Linked DNA regions of Tribolium castaneum. The protein of the gene in region 3 binds, or shares a complex with, the protein of the main gene of each other region. Links are inferred from orthologs where the notes say so. Each region holds a gene or a part of one and is shown on either strand. Other genes may lie near its edges. The genes, in order: Sec13, Nprl2, Nprl3 and mio.

The links.
Region 1: Nprl3 (region 3) and Sec13 share a complex: the UniProt entries of both Drosophila melanogaster proteins name them as parts of the GATOR complex. The link is inferred for Tribolium castaneum from reciprocal best matches to the Drosophila melanogaster genes Nprl3 and Sec13.
Region 2: Nprl3 (region 3) and Nprl2 share a complex: the UniProt entries of both Drosophila melanogaster proteins name them as parts of the GATOR complex. The link is inferred for Tribolium castaneum from reciprocal best matches to the Drosophila melanogaster genes Nprl3 and Nprl2.
Region 4: Nprl3 (region 3) and mio share a complex: the UniProt entries of both Drosophila melanogaster proteins name them as parts of the GATOR complex. The link is inferred for Tribolium castaneum from reciprocal best matches to the Drosophila melanogaster genes Nprl3 and mio.

What each region holds. Positions count from the first base shown.
Region 1 is NC_087396.1:21,704,992-21,707,733, reverse strand, and holds Sec13 (protein SEC13 homolog), read right to left. Parts: upstream 1,563-2,742; 5' UTR 1,500-1,562; coding exon 573-1,499; 3' UTR 538-572; downstream 1-537. Other genes in the region: small ribosomal subunit protein mS37, read right to left, coding at 1-22; RpL29 (large ribosomal subunit protein eL29), read left to right, coding at 185-221, 274-338, 394-501; PolE1 (DNA polymerase epsilon catalytic subunit 1), read left to right, coding at 1,793-1,866, 1,912-2,035, 2,082-2,300, 2,347-2,573. UniProt on the Drosophila melanogaster protein: Functions as a component of the nuclear pore complex (NPC) and the COPII coat. At the endoplasmic reticulum, SEC13 is involved in the biogenesis of COPII-coated vesicles.
Region 2 is NC_087399.1:8,015,058-8,019,158, forward strand, and holds Nprl2 (GATOR1 complex protein NPRL2), read left to right. Parts: upstream 1-1,263; 5' UTR 1,264-1,404; intron 1,405-1,462; 5' UTR 1,463-1,488; coding exon 1,489-1,626; intron 1,627-1,674; coding exon 1,675-1,766; intron 1,767-1,820; coding exon 1,821-2,421; intron 2,422-3,491; coding exon 3,492-3,845; 3' UTR 3,846-3,872; downstream 3,873-4,101. UniProt on the Drosophila melanogaster protein: An essential component of the GATOR subcomplex GATOR1 which functions as an inhibitor of the amino acid-sensing branch of the TORC1 signaling pathway.
Region 3 is NC_087395.1:17,468,534-17,471,748, reverse strand, and holds the end of Nprl3 (GATOR complex protein NPRL3), read left to right. Parts: intron 1-1,371; coding exon 1,372-1,546; intron 1,547-1,596; coding exon 1,597-1,979; intron 1,980-2,033; coding exon 2,034-2,168; intron 2,169-2,220; coding exon 2,221-2,323; intron 2,324-2,369; coding exon 2,370-2,579; 3' UTR 2,580-2,688; downstream 2,689-3,215. UniProt on the Drosophila melanogaster protein: An essential component of the GATOR subcomplex GATOR1 which functions as an inhibitor of the amino acid-sensing branch of the TORC1 signaling pathway.
Region 4 is NC_087395.1:14,780,378-14,784,642, reverse strand, and holds the start of mio (GATOR2 complex protein MIOS-B), read left to right. Parts: upstream 1-1,417; 5' UTR 1,418-1,521; intron 1,522-1,571; 5' UTR 1,572-1,581; coding exon 1,582-1,693; intron 1,694-1,738; coding exon 1,739-2,251; intron 2,252-3,947; coding exon 3,948-4,140; intron 4,141-4,190; coding exon 4,191-4,265. Other genes in the region: hexosaminidase D, read left to right, coding at 1-177. UniProt on the Drosophila melanogaster protein: An essential component of the GATOR subcomplex GATOR2 which functions as an activator of the amino acid-sensing branch of the mTORC1 signaling pathway.

The DNA.
Region 1 (2,742 bases), on a different chromosome or scaffold from region 3:
ATAGCGCTGCGGCAGCCCTCATTTTCCAAGGGGGGCTAACCAAAAGTGAGGTTATTACACGAGACCACCAACCTAACAAATCTAAAATTCTCCAGAATCTGTGACAACGTGGTCGGCCATAACCTTTCTTTTTCCAACCATCTTGGAAGCTTGTTCGTGGAGTTAATTTCCCAATTTTCAAGACATGGCCAAGTCAAAGAACCACACCAATCACAACCAAAGTAAGTTTAGTGTCCGTTTTTTGTAATTTTGCAAAATTTTCGAGTTTTATAGACCGTAAGGCCCACCGTAACGGTATTAAAAAACCGAAGCAGTTCCGTCACGAATCAACCCTTGGTGTGAGTAAAAATGCAAAAAATACTCGTTTGGTGTGAATTTATAAGTGTCTTTCAGATGGACTCTAAGTTTTTGAAGAACCAGAGGTTCTCAAAGAGGCACAACTTGAGCACCGCCAAACAACGCCAACGTGCGCAGGAACGCAAGGCCAAAGCCAAGAAATAATTTAAGTTTTTTGTAATATGTTTACTCAATAAACAGTTCCACTTAAATTACGTTTTATTTAAAAAATACACCTATTGGTTATTGATCTGTCCCTGGCCCTTAACCACATCACTGACGCACTGCCAATTCCCTTGCAAGTTTTGCTTCCAAAGCGTGATTTTGTTATCACCCCCTGACACGGCCAGAATATTCCCGTTCAGGGACCAACTGACATTCCAGACAACATCGTCAAAAGTCTGGAGGACCGTTGAGTTCCAGTTGTTGCCATCGTCACTCGTCCAGATGATGACCCTCCTGTCTTGCGAGCAGCTCGCGATGGTGTGCTGGTGCAGCCCCACCGAGGGGGCCCACGCCACGTCCCGCACCCAGTCCGAGTGCACCTCCAACTTGTTCTCCTCCACCCACCGGTCCTCCTCCTCCCGCCACACTTTGACCAGATTATCGCAGCCCCCGGACACCAGCCGCTTGACCAGCTTGGCCGCGTCCCGGAACTCCCCCGACGTGGGGGTGATGGCGGGGGCCCAGCTCACGGCATTGCAGCCGATGGCGTGGGCGTTTTGGATCTTCTTCGCGTCCCAGTTGTGCGTCTCTGAGATGTAGCTCAGGATGGAGATCGAGCCGTCGCTGCTGCCGCAGGCCAGCACGAGCCCGTACTCAGGCGGGGCGAACTGCACCGAGTTCACGCTGGAATCGTGGTTGGCGTACTCGTAGTACTTGGTGAACTTCCCGTTCTGCTCCTTCCAGATTATGACCTTGCGGTCGTACGAGCAGGAGGCGAGGAGGTTCCCGAACTTGGGGTGGCTCCAGGCGATCTGCCACACGGGCCCGAAGTGGCCCTTGAGGTCGTCGATCAGGGCTGTGCCCCCGTTCTTGATGTCGTACACTTTGACGCTGTTGTCCGACGAGCACGTGGCCAGGCGCAGCCCGTAGTAGTCCACTTCGGCGTCGTGCACCATGTCCTCGTGCCCCGTGTCGATAGAATTCAAAATTGAGACCATTTTCCCAGTTTAAAACTACCAGAAATTGGAACAGACGTGGCTTGACATTTGACACACGGTTACCAACCGACTCACGTCGCCTCTAATTCGTTCAGTTTTGGCCGATTTGGGGCCCAAATTATCAATCAGATACAAATTCTGGGTTAAAGAGTGGCGACTCGGCCAAAACTACGTGATAAATAGCCCAAAGAAAAAGGTTATGTTGATGTTTGAAAAAACCTGACCCGAAATTCCCCTAGTGTCAAAATGAGCGCGAAAGTCATGTTGTTTTGTCAACAGGTTAGTCTGCAATAATGGATGAAATTAACGAAAAGTTCCGGCCCCAGCGGGACCCCAAGTTGGCAAAAAAGCCCACGGACTTCTCACGGTACGTGCCAGGGACATTCACCCGTTTTTAAGTATTTTGCCTTAGAGAGGAAACCTCGGAGGTGAGACTCCGCCAAGTGATTGAAAATGACGCGATTGACGCAAAATACGGCTTCGAGCGGGTGCGGGATAACTTAGAAAGGACCGGATTTTTGTTAAACATGCACGCGGTAACGTGGTTATGGACCAGGGGCTGGCTTGATAATGTCTGAGTAGAGTGAGATTTTAGATGAGGATAAGAGGTTGGTGGCGGCTGTTGACTTCTATTTCATGGAAGAGGACGGCGCCCGCTTTAAAGTGTCGTACTGTTACATGCCTTATTTTTACATTCTTACGAAAATTGAGCTCATTCAAGAAGTGAGCCAGTTCCTTACGAAAAAATTCTCGGGGACAATTGGCAAAATTGAAGTTGTCACAAAGGAGGATTTGGATTTGGTAGAGCGAGCAATTGTTGTTGCTAAACTTATGAGCGATTTTTCAGCCAAATCATTTGATTGGTTTGCAACAGAAGTACATAAAATTGTCGTTTTTCAACCAAACTGATTTAATTAAAGTCAGGAAGGAGATACTCAAAGTTGTGAAAAAGAACAAAGAGAGGGAAAGCTCAAACACCTATTACACCGAAATGTTGACGGACATTTTAGCAGACAAGGCGGCCCAAACCACCAAGACTAACACCGATCAGATGGAAAATATTCTCGATATTCGGTAAAGGACCCAAGTAACAATTTAAATGCTGATTAGATCTAGTATTACGGTTTTGTAAAAGTTTCATGAAGGTGGATAAGTGTAGATAAGTTGCTTGTCTACAGCCAAATACTCCCACAGATCGCAAATTTCTAATAGATGTTCTTTAGAATGCTTTAAAACTATTGAG
Region 2 (4,101 bases), on a different chromosome or scaffold from region 3:
TTGTAATTTGGTAAACAAAAACAATAAATGGTCATTGAACGAAACGCGGGAAATGTCTGAGTGACGGTGCTACCAACCTGTAGGTGTAACAATTTGAGCAACTTCTGAAATTAAAAATTTGTCGGGAAAAAAGGATTGTTTTTTGAAATAGCCTTGCAGGACGTTGTAAAGTGTTTGATTATTTTACAAGTGGAAAAACTATTGTGTTTAAAAAATATTTGGGAATTAGATTAACTAGACACCCCCTGGTGATGACATTTCATACTATTCGAAAACAATAACGAAATTTTCTTAATTCCTTATTTAAATTCCGACTTTAGTATGCGCTTTAGCTTTGTTCATGCGGTTATTCGTGATTAAAATTGTAATTTGTTGGAATTTGAAAATGGACAAAACGTGAAAAAGATTTAATTTTTGGTTACAAAGTGTTACTAAAGCAATTACACTGAAAAAATTGTATTGTATAATACTTCTGAAAATCTACAAAACCGTAATTGAGATTAAGTACTGCAATGAAATATTAATTTAAAAAATGGTCGTATAATGTTTAACATAGCAAACAAAGAAAAAATATACAGATAAAGCATTAAATTCTTAACAGTAAGACATAAACAACATGCAAATGTTTTGTCGTAAAATATATTTTTTTGTTGGTAATATTTTATGCCGCATACGCTCGTTACATAACAACAGTCCTCGGATTTTAAGCTTGTGTTTTTGCACTCGTATTATTTACAAAAAATATTTTTTTACAAATTTCTTCCTAACATTTTGCTTGTCTCATTAACCGTATTTGCAGCGTCTTGAAAAATATGTAGCGAAGCGCAAATTTTTTTATGTTAAGTATTTTTTTGTCATTATTCTTATAAGAATTTGAGTTGGCAGTTTTTTTCAGTCTGTTAAAAGTGCGAAGCTCAACATTTCTGCATTTTTTTCCAAGGAAATGATGAATTGGATTTAAATTAATTTTAAACAATTTGGCGCCGAGAGGTATAACGCTCAAAGCGCCCTCATTTTTTTTCTACCGTACTATTTCTTTGGGTTCAAAAAATCCAGCGATTTTGTATTTCGTTTCGTTTCCTAAGTTATAGCCCTCCTTAATTTAACCATAAATTGTTGCAAAAGGTAGGTTTTTCAATGTTTTTGTAATAAGTTTTCGAAAAAGTAAGTGAACAAACAGTTTATTTCTGTTTTTTTTTTGCGTTATCTTTTATTTGTGAACATGTATTCTTTGTACCAATGATACAATAGTCAGTCCACATAGACAATGCAATTAGCCACAAAATTTGTACAATGCTCTATAAATATCCGAATTAACTTTTACCGCCATTTAAATTCAGTAGTGGCGCCGTACAGAAACCTGTAATTGGATTCTTGTTCAATGTGGATGTTTATTTATTCCAGGTTTTAAAATAAATTTTTACCAAAAAAAGCTTTACCGGGCTAATTCCGCAATTTTCAGATCTATGGAATTATATTTCACGTCAAATGTTACGAAACGTACAAAACATGGAAAATACAGGTTATGTCCTGAACAACTTTGATCACACAAGTCAGGAGGGCCCCATTCGGTGCATTTTTTTCTGTGAATTTCATCCAACAGCCGGGCCTATCATTTCGTGTCAAGTAAACATTAAAAAAAAAATGTTACGTGATTTTGCAAGTGTGTTCCAGGAACCAGAGCAGTACATTTCAAAGGAACTATTCGACAGTATTAGCGTTTACATAATCACGAAAGCGGAGTTACAGAAGAGTACAATCACTGTGTAAAAAACCGAAGCGAAATCGATGAATTAATTGCTTGTTGATTTTAATTTTAGTACTCTATCGGATTATAAAATATTGGGGTTCCCGGTCCGCATTGACGACAAAAAATATCCCCGGAACGCCTACCACTTCAATCTATGCCTAGTGTGTGACAGTAACGTCCGAACCGTTCATTACGAACCCGTCGTTATAAAACTATCAGACTACCTAATGGCAATGGAAATTGAAAGCAGTTTTTTATCGGACGGTAAAGCAGCAACGAAACTCGCCCCAATTTTGAAGCAAGTTATCGAGGAATTGAACACGAAGGGGGAGTGCGCCCTCACGGAGGGCCCCACCGCCACCCATCTCAAGGTCGTGCACGTTCGCAGCGACCCGGCCCCCGTGGCCGACCACCAGGTCCCTGTCTTCATCAAGCCCCTCCCGGACCAGCAGTGGGACTTGACCACGCAACAAGTGGCCCCCTACATTGACGGCTTCAATCACGTGGCCCGAATCGCGGCCCTCTCCGATGTCGAAAATAATTTGGTCAAGGCTTGTGTCCAAAACCTCGTCTATTACGGAGTCGTTGCTTTAGTGCCTTTGTTCCAATACGGGAATGTTTATTGCACGACGCCGCAGTTAAATATTCTGGCTCACGATGTCAATTTACAAGTAATAACAATAACAACTCATTAAGGTTGAAGGGGAACACGTTTCACTGTGTTTCTAGGCCGTCAGATGGCGCGGAATTAATTTTTTATTATCGAAATCGAAAAAAGTTTTGATCACAGAATCGTAATTAAATTTGCGCTAACGTATTAGTTTTTTATTTTTTGACGTATTTAAAAAAAAATTCATGAATTTTTAAAATAAAAAATATTTTGTAAAACCAAGGTAGGACGACGAATATTTGCTGAAAATTTAACTCCAATATCTAGAAGTCATTTAGTAAAGATTAGTTTTGTCTGCCTATTATTCATTTTCCTTCAGATGATATGCAAAACTTCTAGAAGTATAGGTTTTTTCTGTATCTCTATGCACTCGATTTTTGTTTCTACACTTTCTTATATTAATTATTATCAATGAATTGAAAATATTAATAGTTGTATTAATAAAATTAAAAATATGGAAACATTAACTAACCAAACTGTCGTTCTAAAAAAAATTAAAAGAAGTTCAGGTACGTACGAGTAAAAAATTACTTACTAGCAAACGCTGAATTCTGGATATTATACGAGTAGTTTTTATTTGTTTCGTCGATTAATTTAGTCCCTTTCAGTTTTTTTGTTAAGCTTTTTCTAGGAATGGGAAGCAGGTGTACAGTCACTATCAAAAAGAGTAACACCCCTAAAATCGCTGTCATAATTATTTCGATATGATATGACATTACTTGCAGTCCGCTCAGCTTTTTCAATCTCCCATTATTAGAAATCTTCATTACAATTTTTTTTACCAAAAATAGTCAAATTAAATTTTAACCTATTTTATAATTATTATATATTTCATTAAAATTTTAAACAAAAAATGCCATTTTTTTTTCAAAAAAGTGTTACGTTGGCACAAATTCTAATTCTTTAATAAACTGAATTCAACTTTTTGATTTAAAATTGGATTACAAAAATCGCCAAAAACAGCAAAATCATTTTCATTATACTTGTCTTTATCGCACACTTGATTTAACTCTGTGTCCCCTTTAGCCTTAATTATTTATAACTAGCAGCGAAAGAATAACTCGTTTTTAGAACAAATGTTTGAAGTATGTGGCGGTGTCCCAAAGACAGTTACCCAATTTTCGCGACGTTTTTCGCATGTTTGCCGCCATGACAAGGGGCACGACCATGCGGGACTTGTGCCTGAGATTTAATCCAGCTAATTTGCGAATAAACGAAAGGAAATTGGTACAGATTGGAGTGTTGGAAGGTCTGATTCGACGGGTTCATAAGTATCCGATTTTGTTGAGTGATACTTCTGAATTACAAAAATCGCTCTCGGGGGCGGCTAATTTGGATGAGATTTGCTGCGCCACTGGCGTTGCCACGCAACAACTCGAGGACCAGCTGGAGAGAGACCACAATATCGTCCTGTTGTGGAAATGACTGTGATAATAAAGATTTGCTTAAAAATGATTTGTTTCCGTAGCTACTGTTGCTTTATTTCCATGGTTACGATTGAGTATCCATGACAATCAAATCGTTTAAACGTTGACGTTTTTATCATTTAATAAAAAAAAACTATAAACCTATAAATAATGCTGCCATCAAGCATTCAAATTTTCATACAATTTCATTGTACCAAATTTTTTATTGCAAGTTAAATCTCAATTGAAATCCAGAGTGCCTGTTTTTTTTTCAA
Region 3 (3,215 bases):
ATACTTCGGCCAAGTTCATCAAAGCGAAGAAAATTTTAGCTTTAGTTTTTGAACAATTGATTTATTCCGTGATACTTGTATACATTTAGAACAAAATGTTCTAAACAAATGTTCTAAACTTTCAATGTGAATATAATGACATGGTTTAATAATTTATTAAGGGTTCCCATTTTACACCCAATGATCAATAGTTTATTGATGGGTATTGTGTCTGATTGACACTTAGAACATTTGGTAGAATTAAATTTTTTTTTGTAAAATCTATGTTCTAAATTGGAACGTTATTTTCACATAGAAACCAAATAATAATGGAAAATGTACAACAAGCATATCTTAAAAAAAATAAAAATGGATTTTTATTATTATTATGGTGGATGTGCCGGGTTAATTTTTCCACAAATTTAATATAAATGATGTATATGCCAGAAAATCTGTAATAATTTGTTATAATAATTGATTCTTTTTAAACGAGCTACGCTTTTACTTCAAATATGTTAAAAAAAATAAAGAAATATATTCAAAATAGTGCTTTTACTTAAAATTTTGCAAGTAAATGCTCTAAAATGTATAAGTAAAAATGGAAGTACATATAAGCTTTTACTGAAAGTAAAGCATTTTTTAGCAATTATTTGCTTTAAAGTCGAGAATATTCTCAAAACAAAGTGAATAAAATAAAGCAAATGCTTTTTTCATTAAGCATTTACTTCAAAATTGTTGTTACCTTCGGTAAAAGCTTATACAGAATGGAATTTTTAACTGGAATAAAATTCTTTGATTTAGCCGATTTTAGTGAAAATTCCCGTAACAGGTCAATTTTTATTTTTCCTTGCCTACTGTTTCATGTATATGGTTTTTGTTTATTTGTTGTCAGAAATGCACAGCCACCTCTAGCTTTAGGCGTAGGCTTTGGATATATTCGTTACATTTGTGTAACGTTAAAAGTGGCTGGGCATTTTTGAAAACAGATAAACAAAAACAAAAACTGATGTGCAAAAAAAAACAAAAAACAAAAAAATCGCTTATATCCAAGTTACAAATTTTATTTTAGTTAATAATTCCATACTGCTTTAATTTTTTATAACTTGGGCATTGACAATATTTAGAAAACAAATAGTGCGTTTTACTGCTTTCGAACCATGTTCACTAAATGAGGGGAAAGGAAAAACAAAAAGCGATCTGTTTCTGTTTTTTTTTACAAAAATTGCCTATATTCAGGTTATGAATTTTATTACAGTTTAATAGTATTCTTTCTAAAATAAGTCACTAGACCTGGAAACCTTAAGGACACAAATAAACTATTCAATGTTGCCAACATAAATAAATAAATTCAAAGCGAGCCGCGTGTCCAGTGCCTTATTCTCTACTATGTAGGTGTTTGAAGGCTTTACGCCCTTACCACAGTTTATTATTACTGCACCCCATCCAGCAAATGGCCGATTTCACTGGACTGGATGGCTCCCCATCCTTAGAACGAATGCTAAAGCAATATTCTCCAATAAAAAACTTGCAAACTTTAGCAGCCGACGCCGACTTGACCCTCCACCATGTAAACGGCGTCCCACATCGCCAATTAAATAAATAAATAAATAATTTCAGGTTTTTGAGCTCACAGCTCATTTAGTTTACTGGGCTAAAGCTACAGTTATATTCCCCATTTGCTTGACTAACAAATATGTGATAGCTCCAGACGCCCCCATTCATCTGAATTCACCTCTGATTGACAAATTCTCAGAGGCTTTCCCCACAGCGAATTTAATTCGTGTGATTAGCGATTTCGCGCTACCGACCTCTTTGGGCCAGAAGTGCAACCCGTTGTGCCATCCGGCCCAACAGTCTCATTTAGTACAGACTATTATCTGGATGTTGCAACACCATCTACTGTTGCAACTGCACACTTATGTGCAGTATATGCCAACAGATCACGGGTTGGCAGTGCCCAGGGAAAAGGACGAACGGATCGTTTCACAAAGAAACATAGGGTATTGTAAATCAAGTTGGCGTCATTATTGGTTGCGTCATTTATTTGTGCTTAGAAATGTATTGTCCTCGAGCTCGTATCACCCGAGTACGTCCGAGCACTCGCGAGCCGAGTCCGAAAGCGGCACGTCGACGGTGTCGGAAACGCCCGAGCTTCGCAGCGAATCAGATTTGATCAACCGCAGTATAAAGTCGTGTTGTGTTTGAAATTTGGGTGTTTTTTTAAAGTTTGCGTTATTTTAGTCTCGAAAATGTGAGTTTTACGTCGGTTGAGGACGAAAAACAGGATTATCAGGAGGAGTTGCTGTTGGATTTTCCTGATGAGGAACGCGGGAATATTTTTAAAGTAGGTGTAGTTACTGTTGTAACTATTACAAAAAAAGTTTGTTTAGATACCGGCAACTAATAATCCAGAGGATTTGCGATTGTTTGCCCGATTGTGTCGCAAAGGTTATTTTCATGGGAATCACCACATTGAGGAGATAATGTATTTGGAGAACTTACGGCGCAGTCAGTTGTTGCAGCTCTTGGATAAGTTTAGGGATGTTTTGATTACGTACGAAACGGAGGATCCGGCTATAGCTATGTTTTCATACACGTGAGCGTGTTGACTATTATTCATTGTTTTCACTAATTATTTTATTACAACTGTTACAATCTTCGTATTTTTGTAGTTAATTTTTTACTGGTTGAATAAAGAAATTACAAGTTTGTGGTTGTCTATTAAATAATAAAATACAGAATTTTCAGTACAGTATAGATTAGTGAATCTTTAACACATTTTTTACCTCTACTGAGATCATTTTTCCTCTGTGCCTTATGTATAGTTTTTTTTTTTAGTTTCCAAAATTAAAGGATTTGTAATTAACAAGGTTTAATTTTGATATTACATCTCAAAACATGGATAACTATTTTATTTATTCTTCACAGGTGTTTGAGGGTATTCATAAAAATATTTCTTTGCTGTGTACAACGGTTAAATCCTTTAAATTACGCATTTTTTGTTGAGGAAGTACTGGAAAGATCTTCAACCGTGTCTTGAGTATTCTCCGCATTAGTGTTATTGTTGGTCTGAACCTCGGTCTGATGAGATCTTTGTTGCTTAACAAAAAATATTTGTATATTGAAGGACCGGTTTATAGAAAGCGCCATTAAATTTTAATTTGTTGTTAAAAGTTAACAACGCGAATGAACCAATCAAGTTGGTTCAATTTGATCATGTGATGAGTTAATCATGC
Region 4 (4,265 bases), about 2.7 Mb from region 3:
TTTGATAATTACACGATAAGTGAGTGGATCGAGCAAAAGATATATCCTTACATAATCCAGTTGGAAAAAATACAAAACCAAAGTATTGCGTTGAAAAGTGTCAATCAATGGCCGGCCAGGCCTTTGCCCCCGTTAAGGGACTTGCAAAGGCTGGGCGTGCCTTTACCTACAAATTAATTGGTAAAATTGTGTTCATTTTATTTGATATTTCAAGGAACGGTAAATACTCATGTGTACAAATTTTATTTATACAACTCATTTTGGAAGCGGTGTTTTTTACCCAATTAAAAATAGTACTTAGTTAAAACTGTACTTAGAGTTAACGATTTTTAATAAACTGCAACAATTAATCAACACAAACGCACATACACAAGACGTATCCATAAAACACTCAGTTTGTAGTTTATTTAGCCAACAAGTTTGACAATCGTCGATTAGTCGCCGATTAGCAAACGATTAAACGAAAAGTAAATTTAGGGTACTTCTAGCATCAAGGAAATAATTTACTTTTTCAACTTAATTCACTCATTAGAAATAAATGCATTCACGCACGTTAAAAAAATTTCGATTAATTTGGTGCCTTCACCGATTATGACCACCAAAACTCCGTTTTGATAAATAAAAGCCAAGCCAATGAGTCATTTTTAATATTTGATTAATAGAGATTGTAATGTTATTTACTTAAAGTTGTATATTATATTTTAAGATGTTGTTTGTTTGAAAATACAGTTTTTGTGATCTGATTTTAAGTTGTTAAATAATAGATCTGAAATCAAGAGATGTTAGCTGTTGATTACGAAGTGATGAATGTATAACAAAAATTAATAAAGCTTTAGAACGTGTGATTGTTTCGTTGTTTATGCCCAGAAATAAAAAATGATTCTCCCAATTTCAATTTTTTGGTGATTAATGGAAATCTTATTGTTTCTTATCGCCCATTTGTTTGTCCAATTATCTCTTACATAAATAGTGATTTATTGTAAGAACATGGAAATTGGCTTAGTTGTTGGTTTCTTCTACTGTTGAAGTCGACAAACTGAAAATGTTCAGCATGTAAGTATGAAGACAACAAAAATATAAAAGTACAAATGTTCGGTATTATTAAAAATTCAAGTAATATTCATTTTATGAGTGCACTTGTTGGTGTACGTTGCCGATAACAATTTAAACGACTCAAAATACAATCGTTTTATTAATTTTTTATAAAAATCACAGTTTATTTCTCCCCAACCCCAATTTTATTAATTAAAGAAAGAAATCAGAAGTAGAACAGACAACTAGGAGGGCACCTTTAACACACATCGTGTTTTTATCAAATGTAACCCTTTTTAAAGTAAAAAATTAAGGAATTTGCCCTGTTTCTCAAAATTACTCTTTAAAAAAAAAGGATTTTAAAGGTAGATTTGATTCAAAGTTTTCGCTCGCGCCGTGGAATGGCAGTGGCACCAACGCGAAGAACCAAAAGAAAACAAAAACATGACCGTAACCTCAAAGCCAAAATACATCGCAAATTCGCCAATTGTTAACCCGTTGCCTTTTTACTTATTCTAAGTATTTAATTACCGTTTTAGCTTCCATAAAATGTCCTCGAAACTGGAAATCCAGTGGACCCCCATCACCAACAAATTTATCACGTGGGGTTCCGAAATTTGCTTGTACGAGGTGCACCAAGACCGCGATAACGTTTTGCAAAGTATTAACTCATGGCCATGATCCCAATCTTACGAAAAACTTGCAGATATTAAGCTATCAAGCACGACTTCCGCCAATTTACTGGCGACAAACACCAACCACCACTACGTTAAATGCCTGGATGTTTACCCAAAATCCGATGCCGATTTGTTGCTAGCTGTGGGTTTATCAAATGGACGAATATCACTGTCGACATTCGGCCCCACGGAGTATGACGCCTTGGGGTTGACTGGGAAAGAACTGGTGCCGAGACATGCAAGGCAGTGTAATGCCGTGTGCTGGAACACAATTGAGACTAGTTGGGTGGCTGCCGGGTTAGACAAGTACAGAGCGGACAATTCCGTTCTCATTTGGGACATTATGAAGTCGTCCCAAAACAACGAAAGCAATTCGGGAAGGATGGCGGTTAACACCATGGCCCCAGGGGTGGAGCTCGCAAAACCCATAGCCGAATTTGGGGTTTCCGAAACCGCCCACAGCATGGCCTGGTTCAGCAGCAACAGCAAGGTGATTGCTGTCGGGATGAACTTGAAAAATATCAAGTTTGTCGACATCAGAGGTATTCTTAGTCTTTTTCTTTCTCAATTATTGTGTCTCACAATTTCTTAAATGTCTTTCCATTTGTGAAATATCAAAATCATGTGTTAATTGATATTCCCTTTCTTTTCCAGTTAATTTAGTCGATTTGGATGAATTCTTTTTATGTAAACAAAGGCCATATTTTTTCGTTAATCTAATTAAAAATAAATATATTTGGAACAATAAAGCGTAACATACATTATATTATGTGGATATTTCTTACAATCTTGCAAGTATGTGTCCATATTTATGTTCAACATAATAATAATAATAATAATAATAATAATAATAACAGACCTTTATTAAAGAAAAATGGGGGCGAAGTCTAGTCAAAGACTATTCACCTCAACTCCCCAAAAAAAGAATTATAAAGATATATAAAAAAATATCAAACAATAAGAAAAATAAAACAAGTAATATAAATAACTTCAGAAAGGTACAAATAGAAAACTTAAAACTAAAAAAGAAGCAATAGAGTAAATATGGAAATGGAAACGTAGCATGCGATGATGAACACCATAATTAACCATGGAGAGCAAGAAATCTTTGTAGAGTGTACGAAATTTATTCACCGAAACATTCAACTGAAAGAGTACAGTGGAGTTAAAAACTTTAACACCATTATAAGTTAGCGAGCGTTGAAAGATGGATGAACTAAACTGAGGCATAGAGATTTGTGTATTATGATGAATGTTGACATTGTGAATGCTATTTCTAAATCTAAATTTTTTCTAAGGTAGAATGGAGACGAAGTTGTCATAAGTTTAAACATAAGTGTACCCAATTGGTGTCGATACATATTTTCAACTTTCAACCAACGTAGGTCGAGTATTTTAGACAAAACATGATCGTATTTGTTCAAACCAAAAATGAACCTACAACAACTATTTTGGATTTTCTGTAATTTGTACTTTGTGATATTATCTAAGCAGGGATAGTATAAGATTAAGCAATATTTCATAAATGACATAACTAAGGTTTCTGTTAACTTTTTACGTAATTTGAAATTCAAAATTAAATAGTTCGCGTATAATAACTTAAGAGCAGAATATGATTTTTTAGGACCATATTAACATGAGATTTAAAACGACAATTTTCCGGACACTGAGGTTTTTATTTTACTGAACATCACACAACAATATTACTCCTATGTTCAATTTTTTTCTTTCTTTCACATATACTTCTGTTACATTCGACTGCATAATAAAACGAACTTCAAAGGTATAAGGTATATTTCTTCTCGCGGGGACGAATAAAATTATTTTAACTGAATAATGAAAATTCTACAAAACTGTTGACTTTAGACAATGAAACCTGGGTCTTTTTGAACATCGCATAGTTTTTTTTGTCGATGCTCAGCACTTCTTTTGGCAGTGTTTTGAGTTCTTCTGTATGTTGAATAAATTTTCGTGTTTGGCAAAACATTGAATTGTTGTCCCAAATTATTTGCCATTGAATCATTTATTCATCAAATTGATTATTAAACCACGTACTTCGTTGCTTATTACACCAATTGTAAACCATTACCACAACGTAGTAAAATAAATGGGAAAATCATTTAAGAAATTGTGAAAAAAAGGAAGAAAACTAAAAGAAAAAAACTACGTGAGTCTAAATAAGAACACTTTTATTTTGACTCACGCTGTGGTCGAAGATTATTCAATAGTTACTTGTAGATCCTAACAAAATCACAAATTCTACGCTAACCAAGGCCGTTTTTGGCGTTTGCATGGACCCGAACGACGACCGGCATTTGGCGTCATTTTTCGAGAATAATATTTACGTTTGGGATACGAGAAATTTCGAAAAACCCATCCTGACGCTGCACCAGAACAAGCCTGTGATCAAAATTGCCTGGTGCCCCACAAAGTACATTCCCAATCGTGCATAAAATTCGAAATTTTTGTTTATTTCCTTAGGTACAATCTTTTGGGGTCTTTGCAAAAAGAGAGCTCCGTGATTAACTTATACGACATACAGCACACTGTAATCGG